Linked DNA regions of Anolis sagrei. The protein of the gene in region 1 interacts with the protein of each later gene in a pairwise test. Links are inferred from orthologs where the notes say so. Each region holds a gene or a part of one and is shown on either strand. Other genes may lie near its edges.

The links.
Region 2: the proteins of NIPBL (region 1) and MAU2 interact in binary tests that used the Homo sapiens proteins (3 or more experiments, as listed by UniProt). The link is inferred for Anolis sagrei from reciprocal best matches to the Homo sapiens genes NIPBL and MAU2.

Annotation. Positions count from the first base shown.
Region 1 is NC_090022.1:279,217,776-279,225,841, reverse strand, and holds the start of NIPBL (nipped-B-like protein), read left to right. Parts: upstream 1-4,856; 5' UTR 4,857-5,331; intron 5,332-8,066. UniProt on the Homo sapiens protein: Plays an important role in the loading of the cohesin complex on to DNA. Forms a heterodimeric complex (also known as cohesin loading complex) with MAU2/SCC4 which mediates the loading of the cohesin complex onto chromatin.
Region 2 is NC_090034.1:50,624,253-50,631,420, forward strand, and holds the start of MAU2 (MAU2 chromatid cohesion factor homolog), read left to right. Parts: upstream 1-4,134; 5' UTR 4,135-4,175; coding exon 4,176-4,640; intron 4,641-7,168. Other genes in the region: SUGP1 (SURP and G-patch domain-containing protein 1), read right to left, coding at 1-39, 2,228-2,399, 3,845-3,965. UniProt on the Homo sapiens protein: Plays an important role in the loading of the cohesin complex on to DNA. Forms a heterodimeric complex (also known as cohesin loading complex) with NIPBL/SCC2 which mediates the loading of the cohesin complex onto chromatin.

The DNA.
Region 1 (8,066 bases):
GTAAGCATCATTATTAACTCTAAATACACTGAAATCTTAAATCAAAGTGTAGAGTACATGTAAAACACAAAATACATGTACTTATGCTTCTGAGTTTCCAAAAAGCCGCAGAAATTATTTTTAGATGGAATATAGCTATATTATGCATCATCTGTAAAGACCTGTGCAATGATGTTACTAGCGAATTCTCTGGGCAATCTCTCATGTGTAGGGTCTGGCATACCTACAAATGCACCTGATGGCACATGACTAAATTAACTTATACTTGTACACAGCTAATTTACACAGAACAATCTCTGTGAATGCATCTCTTCAATTCAAAGCCATAGTGCCTGACTTCAGTCTTGTAGTTCTTACTGCTCTTAGGTTGAGTTCTTAACTTTGTGGAAAACTAACTGAAACGACTATATTTAACGATTAGTGCATTCAAAATATTTTTGGAATGCTTGATTAATAGAATCCAAAGCAGACATTTTGGCAAACTTACCTGAATTATAACTTTCTGTTCGGCTCCACTGTGCACAATTTGAAGAGAAAAAGCTTTCCAGGTTGTCATTGTCCCCTTCTCGAAAGCCTGCTCCACTACACATAATTAAGCTATCTGCAAGAAATCTGTCAAAAACTACAATTTCCCAGCAAAGAAACCTTTATGGATTTCCCTCTTTCATGTTACCTTTTTCACAAAACATCATTTTGGAAAAAAATGTGTATGGCCCAGAAACCTAGATTTTTCATCAACTTTAAATTAGGTGATATCCCTGCCTTATAAAAACACGCTTACAAGTATGAAAGTGGCAATTAATGTAAAAAAAAAAAACCCTCCATGCAAACAAGAGCAGTTGTTTAATAGTCCTTCTGGGAATGAAAGAATAAGACACACATTTCTTCTTCTTAAGGAGATCTGTATATCTTCCTTGGAATTTTTCATTTTACCTGCAATCTTGACAATTATGTTTTAAAAACAATTCCTTAGAATCAAAGACTTGGAAGACAACACAAGGACCATCTAATCCATGCCCCTGGCATGCAGGAACAAATCATTAACAACATTATTTTGGTCTTCTTTTGGTCAAATCATGTTTATTTCTCTTCACAACATCAGGCCTTATCTGATTTTCTTTCCATGTCAGGAGTGACTTGAGAAACTCCAAGTCGCTTCTGGTGTGAGAGAATTGGCTGTTTGCAAGGATGTTGCCCAGGGGATGCCCAGATGTTTTACCATCTGGTGGGAGGCTTCTTTTATGTCCCTGCATGAGATGCTGGAGCTGACAGACATGAGCTCACCACATTTCCCAGATTCGAACCGCCAACCTTTCAGTCAGCAGTCCTGCCGGCACATGGGTTTAACCCATTGCGCCACCGGGGGCTCCTAGGCCTTATCTGTGAACTCCAGGTTTTCCTGCAGACATCGGAAATTGAGATAGGAAACAGAGAAACAAAGAGAAGAGACAAGAGCCACCTAGAAAGACAAGAAGCAGCATGGATTCAAGGAGAACAGTGAAGACCCATTTCTCATCACCTTTAAATCCAGCAATATCCGTCTTTAAGATAACACCCATAAAAGTGGTTTCTAACAAGTAAAAAAAAACCCCAAACAGATGCAAACAGGAACCGTTGGCCAGTGGTTACTCTAAGAGTGAAAGAATGAGAGATACATTCCTTAAAAGAACACCTTCCCTTGGAGTCCTTCCCCTCTTTTATTTGGAATTTTTACAATTATATATGTAAAGTAACTACTGATAGCCAACTAATAATAGACTTGGAAGAGGGCCACCCAGTCCATCCCTTTGCCATGCAGGAACAATTTAAAGAAACAACAACAAAATTATGTTGGGGTGGTTTTCAATTGTTGACAATTTATAGAATCATAGAGTTGGAAGAGATCTCATGGGCCATTCGGTCCAACCCCCTGCCAAGAAGCTGGAAAATCACATTCAAAGCATCCCAACAGATGGCCATCCAGCCTCTGTTTAAAAGCCTCCAAAGGAACATTCCAGGGCAGAGTGTTCCACTGCTGAATAACTCTGACAGTCAGGAAGTTCTTCCTAATGTTCAGGTGGAATCTCCTTTCCTGTAGTCTCCAGGGCAGCAGAAAACAAACTTGCTTCCTCCTTCCTATGACTTCCCCTTACATAGTTATACATGGCCCTCATCATGTCTCCTCTCAGCCTTCTCTTCTGCAGGCTAAACATGGCCAGATCTTTAAGACGCTCTTCATATGACTTTTTCTCCAGACCCTTGATCATTTTAGTCCTCCTTTGGACACATTCCAACTTGTCAACATCTCCCTTCAATTGCGGTGCCCAGACCTGGACACAGTGTGATTCCAGGTGCAGTCTGACCAATGCAGAACAGGGGGGTATAGAATCATAGAATCAGGAGATGGAAGAGATCTCGTGGGCCATCCAGTCCAATCCCCTGCCAAGAAGCTGGAAAATTGCATTCAAAGCACCCCTGGCAGATGGCCATCCAGCCTCTGTTTAAAAGCCTCCAAAGAAGGAACCTCCACCACATTCCGAGGCAGAGAGTTCCACTGCTGAACGGCTCTCACAGTCAGGAAGTTCTTCCTCATGTTCAGATGGAATCTCCTTTCTTGTAGTTTGAAGCCATTGTTCCGCGTCCTAGTCTCCAGGGCAGCAGAAAACAAGCTTGCTCCCTCCTCCTGCGGGTTCCTCTCACATATTTATACATAGAATCAGGAAAATTGCATTCAAAGCACCCCCGACAGATGACCATCCAGCCTCTGTTCCCTCCTCTCTCAGCCTCTCGCTCCATTCTGGGGCAGAGAGTTCCACTGCTGACCGTCTCTCACAGTCAGGAAGTTCTTCCTAATGTTCAGGTGGAATCTCCTTTCTTGTAGCATGACAGCTTCGAATTGAACAGCTTGGAAGGACTCTTCTTCCTCACAACGTCCGGCCTTATATTCCTAGATAATAAGGTTTTCCTGCAGACATCAGAAAGCAAGATATGAAACAACAACAAATGGGAGGAAGAAAGAAAAAAAAGAAAATACCTTACAATCTCTGAGGATGCCTGCCATAGATGCAGGAGAAACGTTAGGAGAGAATGCTTCTGGAACATGTATTGCCAAAAGCTTTCATGGCCGGAGTCATAGAATCATAGAATCAAAGAGTTGGAAGAGACCTCATGGGCCATCCAGTCCAACCCCCTGCCAAGAAGCAGGAATATTGCATTCAAATCACCCCTGACAGATGACCACCCAGCCTCTGTTTAAAAGCTTCTAAAGAAGGAGCCTCCACCACAGTCCGGGGCAGTGAGTTCCACTGCTGAACGGCTCTCACAGTCAGGAAGTTCTTTCTAATGTTCAGATGGAATCTCCTTTCTTGTAGTTTGAAGCCATTGTTCTGTGTCCTAGTCTCCAGGGCAGCAGAAAACAAGCTTGCTCCCTCATCCCTATGAATTCCTCTCACATATTTATAGACAGAATCAGGAAAATTGCATTCAAAGCACCCCCGGCAGATGGCCATCCAGCCTCTGTTTAAAAGTTTCCAAAGAAGGAGCCTCCACCACACTCCAGGGCAGAGAGTTCCACTGCTGAACGGCTCTCACAGTCAGGAAGTTCTTCCTCGTGTTCAGATGGAATCTCCTCTCTTGTAGTTTGAAACCATTGTTCCGCGTCCTAGTTTCCAAGGAAGCAGAAAACAAGCTTGCTCCCTCCTCCCTGTGGCTTCCTCTCACATATTTATACATGGCTATCATATCTTATATAGTGCCTTTGACTGCGAGAAGATCCAACCAGTCCATCCTCCAGGAAATAAAGCCCGGCTTCTCACTGGAGGGAAGGATACTAGAGACAAAGTTGAAGTACTTTGGCCACATCATGAGGAGACAGCAAAGCCTAGAGAAGACAATTATGCTGGGGAAAGTGGAAGGCAAAAGGAAGAGGGGCCGACCAAGGGCAAGATGGATGGATGGCATCCTTGAAGTGACTGGACTGACCTTGAAGGAGCTGGGGGTGGTGAGAGCCGACAGGGAGCTCTGGCGTGGGCTGGTCCATGAGGTCACGAAGAGTCGAAGACGACTGAACGAATGAACAACAACAACAACATCATATCTCCTCTCAGCCTTCTCTTCTTCAGGGTAAACATGCCCAACTCCTTAAGCCGCTCCTCATAGGGCTTGTTCTCCAGACCCTTGATCATTTTAGTCGCCCTCCTCTGGACACATTCCACATTCACTGGGTTGTAAGTTTTTCGGGCTGTTCTGAGAGAAAGCGAGAACATAGCCATACAGTTTTTTAAAAAAAGAACTTACCACAACCTTCTGGAACATGGCCATATAAGCCCGGAAAACACACAACAACAACAACAACAACAACAACAACAACAACCCAGTGATCCCGGCCATGAAAGATAAGAGTCACTTGGAGAGAGAACAACAAGCCGAGCTACAACCAAAGAAAGAGAAAGAGAGACAACTTCGTAGAAGATAGAACGAAGCAAGCTGAAGGAGGCAAAGGGGAAGAAGGAAGGCAGGCAGCAGCCGAGCCGAAAGGGGGAGGCTGTTGGTGTTTGGCGCCGGTGGAGGGAGTCATTCCTCCAAGCTGCACTTCCGGTCGGCATTTTGTTCTGAGAGGGAGCGAGAGCGACGCTCGCATTTACGCAGGCTCCTGTTTTTCCGCCCTCTCTCCTTCCTCCTCCCTTCCCGGGACCGACTCCCCGTGGCCCAGGCGCCCCCTCCCTGCCCCGCCCCAGCAGCCGCGTCCACGCACGCCCAGGAAGCAGGGGAGCAAGGAAGCAAGGCAGGGGAGCCAGAGAGGCGGAGGCAGGGGCCTAGGCGGCGGTGACGGCGGCGGAAGAGAAGGAGCGAGCGCCGCCGCGGCCGAGGAGATCCCCCTCCCTCTCCTCTCCTTCCTCCCTTCCTTCCTCCCCCTTCCCCGGTCGGTGCGTGAGGAGGTGTTGATCGGATCCGGCTAGGCCCCGGCCTTGGCGTCGTGTGGATATGTTGGTGGTGAATTAGCCTCGGTGGGAGGAGGAGGACGACGGCAAGGAGGAGGAGGAAGAAGAAGAGAAGCAGCAAGAAGAAGAAGAGAAAGAGGAGGAAGAGGAAAGCAGGCAGGCTTCCTTCGGCCGCTCTCCCCTCGGCGGCTCTCTACATGTTCGCTGCACTCAGGAGGAGGCGGAAGAGGAGCCAGCCCCCCTCCCGGCCCGGATTATTGTTGTTATATTATCTCCCTTCCTCCTCCTCCTCCTCCTCTCGCTCCGCGGCCCAGCGGCGGATCCTTTGAGGAGGGAGGGGGTGGCCTTTCCCCCCTCCTCTTCCCCCCTTCTGGTTTGGTTTTCGGTTGGATTCAAGCGGCGTTTCGCTCAGGTAAAAAGGCAAAGCTCCCCCTCCTTCCCTCTCTCCCTCGGTTTTGGTTCCTTCTCTCCAGGCAGGCAGCGCCTTGGGCCTCCTCTCTCTCTGTGTCTCTCTCTCTCTCTGCTCTGGCCCAGTCGGGAAGCAGAGCAAGGGATTAGCCTTTTCGTCCGGTGTGGGGGGGATAATAATGAGTGGCAGCCAGGGTTGATGGGGGGGGGGGTGCTTCACGTTTCTCCCCGCCTCCTGGATGTGAATGGTTGCCTCGGAGTTGCTGGAGAAGGCCAAGCCCGGAGGAGGGCGCAGGCCCAGCGGACAGCGCTTCCACTCCAGCTCGGGGATTATTTTAGAGCGGCGGAGTGGCTTCTTCCCTGTGACAGGCCTCGCTCAAGCGCCCCAGAGCCAAGAGTGGGAGGAGGAAACAATACAGTCCAAACCGCGGCTGGGCCATATTTACAACTTCACGGGCGGCGGGAGGGAAGGGAAGGGGGAAAAAAAGTCCCAGATAAAAACATTTGCAAAGAAAAGAGAAGGAGACGCGTGCACTCGGGGTGTGTGTCTAGTTGGCAGCGACTGTGCCTTTTAATTCTCCTTGCACGATATTTTGACTGTAGGTGGCTAGGAGAAAAAAAAAAAGATTGGTATTGCAAGTTGTGTAAATCCCTGCGGATTGCCTTGATAAATAAATCCAGACCGTGCTGAAAGATTGACAGAACACGAAACACCTGTCCAACTCACAAGACATACATATTATTTTTATTTCTCGCCAGTCAATTATATTACATTTCTAACAGAACAAAGCAAACAAACAGAAAATACAAAATGTGTGAGTTTGGTAGTTGATTAAATGTCCTTTGACCAGTATCTGGCCACTTGGAGTGCTTCTGGTGTTGCTGGAAGAAGGCATACATGAAAGCCTTAGACAACACATCATACATGGCCTGCTGTATGCAACCTTTAAAGGTTTTATTTTCTGTGTGCACGAAAAGTTACATAGTAAATAATTACTGCCCCACGAAAAAAAAAATGTTTGTAACAATGAATTGCCATCTAGAGATAGTATCCTTGAAGTTAGTTGATTTTTTTTTTAAAGGCCAAAGGTTACTCTGGAATCTCATAGCAAATTGTACTAAATAAGGCAGCAATCCTAAACATAGTCCTTTAGTCCTATTAAAATTGGTGGTCCATCCATATGAAGAAACATGGTTGAGGAGTGGGTTAAAATAGTTTAAAATCTTGCGGAATTAATTTCCTATACCAATTTCAAATAGATACTGTTTGTGTCCATATTGTGTGTGAGTGTTATTGGGTAATCACGTACAACACAGATGTCTAAAAGTTCATCATCAGTATTATAATGTTAACTGGAAGGAAATATAATAGTTTTCTGGTAAACAGTTGTAAATTAAAAAAAATGTGAGAAACTATTTGGATACAGTCCTGGATCTGTTCCTTAGGGATAAACTTCATTTGAACCCTATGGAATTCACTTCAGAGTAGACATTCACAGTCTCTATAACAAGTTAATTTGTGCAATTTTGATTAATTCTGTTTTATAACTACTTTTTATGTAACTTTGTCAAAAAGAGGTCTCTGGTTGTGATTAGATTGTAGTAATCTTTCCCAGTGCTCAACTTTCACATTGATGTTGTTGGTGTTCTAACTTAAAAAAAAACTAGCTTCCGTTTAGTAAAATAACTTTTGGTGTTGTTTGGGAAGTAGTGCTGTGTTTTTAAATGGGTGGTGTGAATATAGCTGTCACGTAGAAAGCATGTTTTTAATGATGTAAATTCATGTAGTAGTCAGTACTGTGTCTGTGATTTGTATTGGCCAGGCAGCGGTTTGAATTTTAAAAAGCCAGAAGATCCTGCTGAGCCCCAAACCCGGCCTCCCTCCCTCCCACTAATCTGCCATTCCTGTCTTTGTGCTGCCTGGGCCTGTTAGACACTGTTTGCAACAGGGCCTCAGGCCTGTATGCTCGGGAGAGCAACCATTTTCAGTTTGAAAAAGCAGCTTTTATTTTCTGAACTTTATAAATTGCAGAGTGAAACATGAGTTGTTTCTAATTATTTCTATGTATGGTGACTGAATTTTGCCTTTAAAAAAAAAGCTGTACTAGGAATGTCAAGCATAGGTCTAATTTACAGAAAGGACAGTACAGAAAACTATTGTAAGAAAGTGGCACTAGAACTTCTCATTTTGTCACTTCAGTTAAATATGTGATTTCCCATAAATTGCATTGAAGCTTATGCCCTAGTCATATAACTCCTGCATGTTCTTTACTTTAGTTCCAGTTTTATTCATTTAGGTATGCATTCTCCTGCCTACCCCTTTTTAAATGTTTACAGTCTTCATGCATTTTAAAGTTGTTTGTTTGATACATTTTGTATGAAATATTCATCATTTTTAATATGAAGATTTTCTTCTGAAACTTTTCTAAAACACATACCTGTGATTTGGTCCATTATTTTGGAAACACAATGACATGTCTTAATTTTTTAATTTACATATGATGTTTAGTACTGAGGTTATTTCTTTAGAAATAATCAAGTAGCTGAAGCAAACCTCAAATTTCAGATACCTTGAAGGGTTAAATCACTTGTTGGTGAAATATATGTGGTTATATTCCTTAGCTAAAAAGGGATGGATATTTTCTTCTTGTGCCCTAAATGATCTTTCACACTTTCAGTTTTTATTGCATTCGTTATAATATATATTTTTATAAAGAAAGCACTGTGAGAGAGAATGTA
Region 2 (7,168 bases), on another chromosome or scaffold:
TTGTTTGACACGGTGCTTTCACCCTCGCCACTCTCATCGCTGGAAAGCCAAAGAGGGATGGCATTAGTGGTTCCAATAAAAGCAACAAATGGGCCCAGAACCCTTCTTGGGTCATGTTTCCACTTAAATGTGGGCCATTCAGATGCTGGGCACTCCTTTTTCGGCTTTTTGTGCCTTGAAGTCATTTCTGTGCCTTTACAAGTTGTCAGGAGTGGTTTGTCATGGCCTTTCTATGAAGCTGAAAAAGTGTGACTTGCCTAATAGGGGTTTGAACCCTGGTCTTCCTACTCAAATCTCTATAATGGCTTCCAAATAAGCAACATTTGCTGTTTATCTTCTTGTTTTTAATTACACACTGCATTTAATTACACTTTATGGCGTTCTATAATTACTGCTCTGCTTTCCAGAGTTTCCTTTTCCTATTGCATGGTTTTGGACCATACAATTAACATAGTGAATACATCTCAGAGGCAATTTCTTATAAACTGTTAAGAATGGAGAACCAATAAGATTCTCCAGACTAGATTGGATTTTAAGAGTTCTAGAACTGGCAGAAATTGACAAATTGCCTTGTCCAATAAACGAGAAGCCAACAATTTTTTTTTCAAATAATGAAAAGTTTTTATCACTTATAAAGAAAAAAGAAAATGCTTGCAGGTTTTGAAGATTAAGTAAACCATTAAAAGATTAGGACAGAATAAAAAAAACTGATTAAGAGATTGGGGGCATTACAATAATATTTTAATCTAATTGTGTTTAATCTATGCTGATGATTGTGCCATCATCGCCCAAGCAGTGAGCTTTGAAATAGTTGAACAGAAGTTCTCCGAAGCTTTAGGTGCTCTTACTGGCTATCACAGGGGAAACCAGCTGATTCCTAATCCATCTAAAATGCAGACGTGTAGTTTTCATCTTAAGAACAGATAAGCATCTCGAGCTCTGAGGATGACCAGGGAAGGAATCCCATTGGAGCATTGAAGCACACCCAAATACCTGGGAGTTGCTCTGGACCATGCTCTGACCTACAAGAAGCACTGCTTGACTATCAAGCAAAAACTGAGTACTAGAAACAATAACATACAAAAGCTGACTGGCAGAACCTGGGGATCACAACCACACACAGTGAAGACATCTGCCCTTGCACTTTGCTACTCTGCTGCTGAGTACACATGCCCAGTGTGGAATACATTTCAACATGTTATAAGAGTGGACGTGACATCACAGAATGTCTATGCTTTACACCACTGGGGAAATTATGTTTACCCAGTATTGCACCACCTGATATCCTCAGGGAAGTAGCAGCTAGTAATGAAAGGATCAAGACATTGACATCTCTGGCCCATTCTCTGTTTGGATAGCAGCCAGCATGCCAATGATTTAAATCAAGAAACAGCTTTCTAAGATCTATGGAGATACTTGCAGGAACACCTCAACAAGCGAAAGTGCAAAAGTGGCAGGAAAAAAAATGGAACTTCAATCACTTACTGATACCCAATGAGAAACTCCCTCCTAGGCACATAGAAGACTGGGTGACTTGGAAGGCACTGAACAGGCTGCACTCTGGCACCATGAGATGCAGAGCCAACGCTAAGAAATGGGGACTCAAAGTGGAGTCCGTGACATGCGAGTGTGGAGAAGAGCAAACCACAGACCACCTGTGGCAATACAGACTAACCTCGGCCACATGTACAATGGAGGACCTTCTCACAGCGACACCAGAGGCACCCCAAGGGGCCAGCTTCTGGCCAAAGAAAATTTAGCATAATGCCAAGCTTTCTAACTTTGTTTGTGGATTTTAAAAAATATTATAACTGTATTCTCAATTTTCTTCTGACATAAGTAAATAAAAATAAAATAAATCTGATTGTGTCTTCCTGCCTAGCAGAATGAGGTTGGACTGTATGCCCCTTTGTGGTCTCTTCCAACTCAGGATTCTATTGCCTCCGTGAACCTAATGGTGTCTACGAGGTTTCATGGTCATCTGTCAGGAGGGCTTGGATGGTGTCTTCCTGCCTAGCAGAAGGGGTTTGGGCTGCATAGCCCTGGAGTCTTTTCCAACTCTAGAATTATATGATCCTACAATTTTGGAAACTTGAAGTTGGGTTTGGAGACCACTGCTTTGGCCTATGCTTGTAAGTCTTGCATGCAATGTTGGAAAGATCATAGATAAACCTATCAAAAAGTAAACAAGCAAGCAAGCGCCCCCCTTGCCCCAACTCCTACGGACTCGCTGGCCTGTGAGGACTGCTGCCGGGCCAAGTGACTCTGCTTGGCCTGCCGCTCCATCTTGGCCTCGATCTCCCGCTTCTTCTGGGCAATCAGCTTCTCCTGATGGAGGATGTTCACGTTGGTCTTCATCGACTTGGGCATGGTGACGCCAAACCACCGGCTGACTTTGCCTGGTCAAACAGGAGAAAGGAAAAACATGGGAGGCTCAAGGCTCACAAAAACCACACAAAGAGATTGAGGTTTCCCTCCTATCAACATGGGCATATGTTGCTGAAGGCTTTCATAGCCAGAATCACTGGGTTGCTGTGAGTTTTTCAGGCTGTCTGGCCATGTTCTAGTAGCATTCTCTCCTGACATTTCGCACACAGCTGTGGCTGGCATCTTAAGAGGTCTGTTGGAAATGTACTGGATGGGGTCGCACTCCCCTTGAAGGCGTAGGTTCGCAGCTTGGGTGTGATCCTGGATTCATCGCTGAGCCTGAAGCCCCAGGTTTCGGCGGTGACCAGGGGAGCATTTGCACAGCTTAGGCTCGTGCGCCAGCTGCGCCCGTACCTTGGGAAGTCTGACTTGGCCACGGTAGTCCACGCTCTGGTTACATCCCGTTTAGACTACTGCAACGCTCTCTACGTGGGGTTGCCTTTGAAGACGGCCCGGAAGCTCCAACTGGTCCAATGTGCGGCAGCCATGATACTAACAGGAGCGGGACGCAGGGAGCATACAACCCTCCTGTTGTACCAGCTCCACTGGCTGCCGATCTGCTACCGGGCTCAATTCAAGGTGCTGGCATTGGCCTATAAAGCCCTAAACGGTTCCGGCCCAAGATACCTAACTGACCACCTCTCGACCTATGAGCCCACGAGGACTTTGAGATCTTCCGGGGAGGCTCTGCTCTCAATCCCGCCTGCTTCACAGGCACGGCTGGCGGAGACGAGAGATAGGGCCTTCTCAGTAGTGGCTCCTCGGCTGTGGAACACCCTTCCCGTGGACATCAGACTGGCTCCTTCCCTGATAATATTCCGCAGGAAATTAAAGACCTGGCTGTTTAAGAAGGCGTTCGAACAAGAAGTGCAATGATTGGTAATTGACTATAGGAATGGAACAACGGATAATTATACTGGATTGTGGTTTTGATGATGAGACGACGCGGAATGGCTTTTGTAGTAATGATGATGTTTTCTGATGATGATGTTTTTTTGTTAATGATGGACTGTGGATTATTTTATATTGTGTCTTGTATTCTGAACCTTGTTCTTTCTATGTTGTACGCCGCTGTGAGTCGCCCCTGGGCTGAGAACAGCGGTATATAAGCAAAGTAAATAAATAAATATATAAATAAGGCAAGTGGCAAGTGGCAGGCATATGAATAGCCTTCCACTGAATAGCCTTGCAGCTTCAAAGCCTCGCTGCTTCCTGTTTGGGGGAAATCCAGTTATTCTGGCCATGAAAGCCTTCGATAACACAATGAGGGAATGGCCTAGACAACAAGGCCCTACCTGAGAGAGGAAGCCTGTTGATTTCACGGGAGAAAGGCAAAGGAGCTTCTAGGGAGGCCAGGTGGGCCATTGGGACCCACCTGGATGGAGGTGGGAGGGGCGTGTAGGGGAAAAAGACTCACCTGGCGCTTCTCTGCCTCCTTCCATGTCTCTCAGGAAGTTCCTTTTCTCCCACAATGCCGCACGCGCACCAGCCCAAGCTCTTAATAGAATTATCTGCCAACTCTCGCGAGAAGACAGCATTTCTTGTCTCCTCCCCCCAAGCCAAGCTCCTTTTGTGTTCGCTGAGATAAACAAGGGACCTCCAGACTACGCATGCGTCGCAGCAGAGCCCGAATTGCGCGTGCGTCCCAGCGCAGCCGTCCTCTCCTCCGATTGGCCAACTCGGCAAGGACGGGTTTTTTCGCAGGCGCAGTGGCCGTCATTCGGGTCTTCGGCTGAGGTAAATCCAAGATGGCGGCGGTGGGAGCTTCGGGAGCGGAGACGGCGGTGTCTTCGGCCTCGACGCCAACGTCGACGTCGTCCGCAGTGGCGGTGGCTCCGTCTTCGTCGGCCTCGGCGCCTCAGCCTCCGGGAGGGAGTAGCGCGACGGCGCCACCTCAGCAGGCCGGCTCCGAGGCCGCTCCAGCCGGGGGCAACAACCCTGGCTCGGGCGGGTCTTCGTCCTCGGCTTCTTCCTCTGGCGGCGGGGCCTCGCCGTCCTCGTCGGAGTCGTGGTACGTGGCGCTGCTGGGCCTGGCCGAGCACTTCCGCACCTCCAGCCCGCCCAAAGTGCGCCTCTGCGTCCACTGCCTCCAAGCCGTGCTGCCACGCAAGCCCCCGGCCCGCGTCGAGGCCCGCACCCACCTCCAGCTCGGCTCCGTCCTTTACCACCACACCCGCAACGGAGAGCAGGCCCGCGGACACCTCGAGAAGGCCGTGAGTATTTCTTTACATGCTTTGCTGTCTGGTGATCTGGAAAATAAAGTAACCAGAAAGTGTTGGTTTCTAATATATGTAATTTCTTTGTGCTTGTGGGTAAACAGTATTTCTTGTTCTTTCTTTGTCAGTGTTGATGTGGAGAGTGTCTGGTTTGACTACTCTGGAACATGCAACATATAATTGTCCTTCTTTTGGAGGTCCCTTTCAAATCTATGATGCTATATCTGGTTTGTTTGTTTGTCGTGTCAGGAGCGACTTGAGAAACTACAAGTCGCTTCTGGTGTGAGAGAATTGGCCGTCTGCAAGGACGTTGCCCAGGGGACGCCCGGATGAATTGATGTTTTTATCTTCCTTGTGGGAGGTTTTCTCATGTCCCCGCATGAGGAGCTGGAGTTGATAGAGGGAGCTCATCCGCCTCTCCTCGGAATTTTTTATTTATTTCGTGTTAGGGCAGCCAGTCAATTATATCATATTTCTAACAGAACAAAGCAAACAAACAGACATAATACAAAATTTTTGAGTTTGGTAGTTGATTAAATGTCCTTTGACCAGTATCTGGCCACTTGGAGTGCTTCTGGTGTTGCTGCAAGAAGGTCCTCCATTGTGCATGTGGCAGGGCTCAGGTTGCATTGCAGCAGGTGGTCTGTGGTTTGCTCCTCTCCACATTCGCATGTCGAGGATTCCACTTTGTAGCCCTATTTCTGAAGGTTGGCTCTGCATCTCGTGGTGCCAGAGCGCAGTCTGTTCAGCGCCTTCCAAGTCGCCCAGTCCTCTGTGTGCCAGGGAGGAGTCTCTCATTTGGTATCAGCCATTGGTTGAGGTTCTGGATTTGAGCCTGCCACTTTTGGACTCCCGCTTGCTGAGGTGTTCCAGCGAGTGTCTCTGTAGATCTTAGAAAATTATGTCTACATTTAAGTCGTTGACATGCTGGCTGCTACTTCCCGGCGGATATCAGGTGGTGCAATACCAGCTAAGCAGTGTAATTTCTCCAGTGGTGTAGGGCGCAGACACCCCGTGATAATGCGGCATGTCTCATTAAGATTTGAACCTCATTAAGATTTGAACCTGCGACCTGTCGGTCTTCAGTCCTGCCGTCACAGGGGTTTAACCCGCTGCGCCACCGGGTTAAACCCCTGTGAATATATATGATTCACCGTGTGTGTGTGAATAATACTATGTATCTCTATCTGTGGCTTGATGGCTCTTTGTCCGGAGGGCTTTGATAATGTTTTCTTGCCTGGTGAAGGGAGTTGGACTGGATGGCCTTAAGTATTTTCTGTTGGTCATGGGGGTTCTGTGTGGGAAGTCTGTCCCAATTCTGTCGTTGGTAGGGTTCAGAATGCTCTTTGATTGTAGGTAAACTATAAATCCCAGCAACTACAACTCCCAAATGTCAAGGTCTATTTTCCCAAAACTCCATCTGTGTTTATATTTGGGCTTATGGAATATTCATGCCAAGTTTGGTCCAGATCCATCATTGTTTGAGTCCACAGTGCTCTATGAATATAGGTGAACTACAACTCCCAAACTCAAGGTCAATGCCCACCAAACCCTTCCAGTATTTTCTCTTGGTTGTGGGAGTCCTGTGTGCCACGTTTGGTTCAATTCCATCATTGGTAGAATTCAGAATGCTCTTTGATTGTAGGTGTACTACTATAAATCCTAGCAACTACAACTCCCAAATGACAAACTCAATTTTTTGAGTGAAGGACATACATTGGATTGTTAGGTGTATGCTGCCCAAATTTGGTGTCAATTCCCTCCTGTGGTTTTTGAGTTCTGTTAATCCCACAAACGAACATTATAATTTTATTTATATATATTTTACCCCGTTCTATCTCCACCCCGAAGGGGACTCGGAGTGGCTTCCAGTTTGGCAATCATTCAGTCAAACAAGGGGGACTGCCATGCAGGAAAAGCACAATCAAAGCACCCCCAACAGATGGCCACCGAGTTTTTGTAATAATAATAACAGGAGCAATCCCAGGGACCATTCAGTCCAACCCCCTTTATTCTGCCATCCAATCAAAGCACCCCCAACAAATGGCCACCTAGCTTTTGCAATAATAATAGTAATAGGAGCAACCCCAGGGACCATCCAGCCTTTGCATTATAATAGTAGTAGGAGCAATCCAAGGGGCCATCCAGCCTTTGCAGTAGTAATAATAATATTTGTTTATTTCCAGCATTTTCTACCCCATCTTACTCAACTCCCAGAGGGGTACTCAGGACAGCTTACACTTGTAATAGGAACAACCCCAGAGGCCATCCAGTCCAACTCCCTTTATTCTGCCATGCAGGAAAAGCACAATCAAAGTACACCCAACAAATGGCCACCCAGCCTTTGTAATAATAATAGGAGCAACCCCAGAGGCCATCCAGCCTTTGCAGTAATAATAAGAATAGTAATAGGAGCACCCCCCCTCCCAACAGATGGCAACCACCCTTTGTAGTAGTAATAATAAGAATAGTAATTGGAACCTGAGGCCATCCAGTCCAACCCCCTTTATTCTGCCAATCAGGAA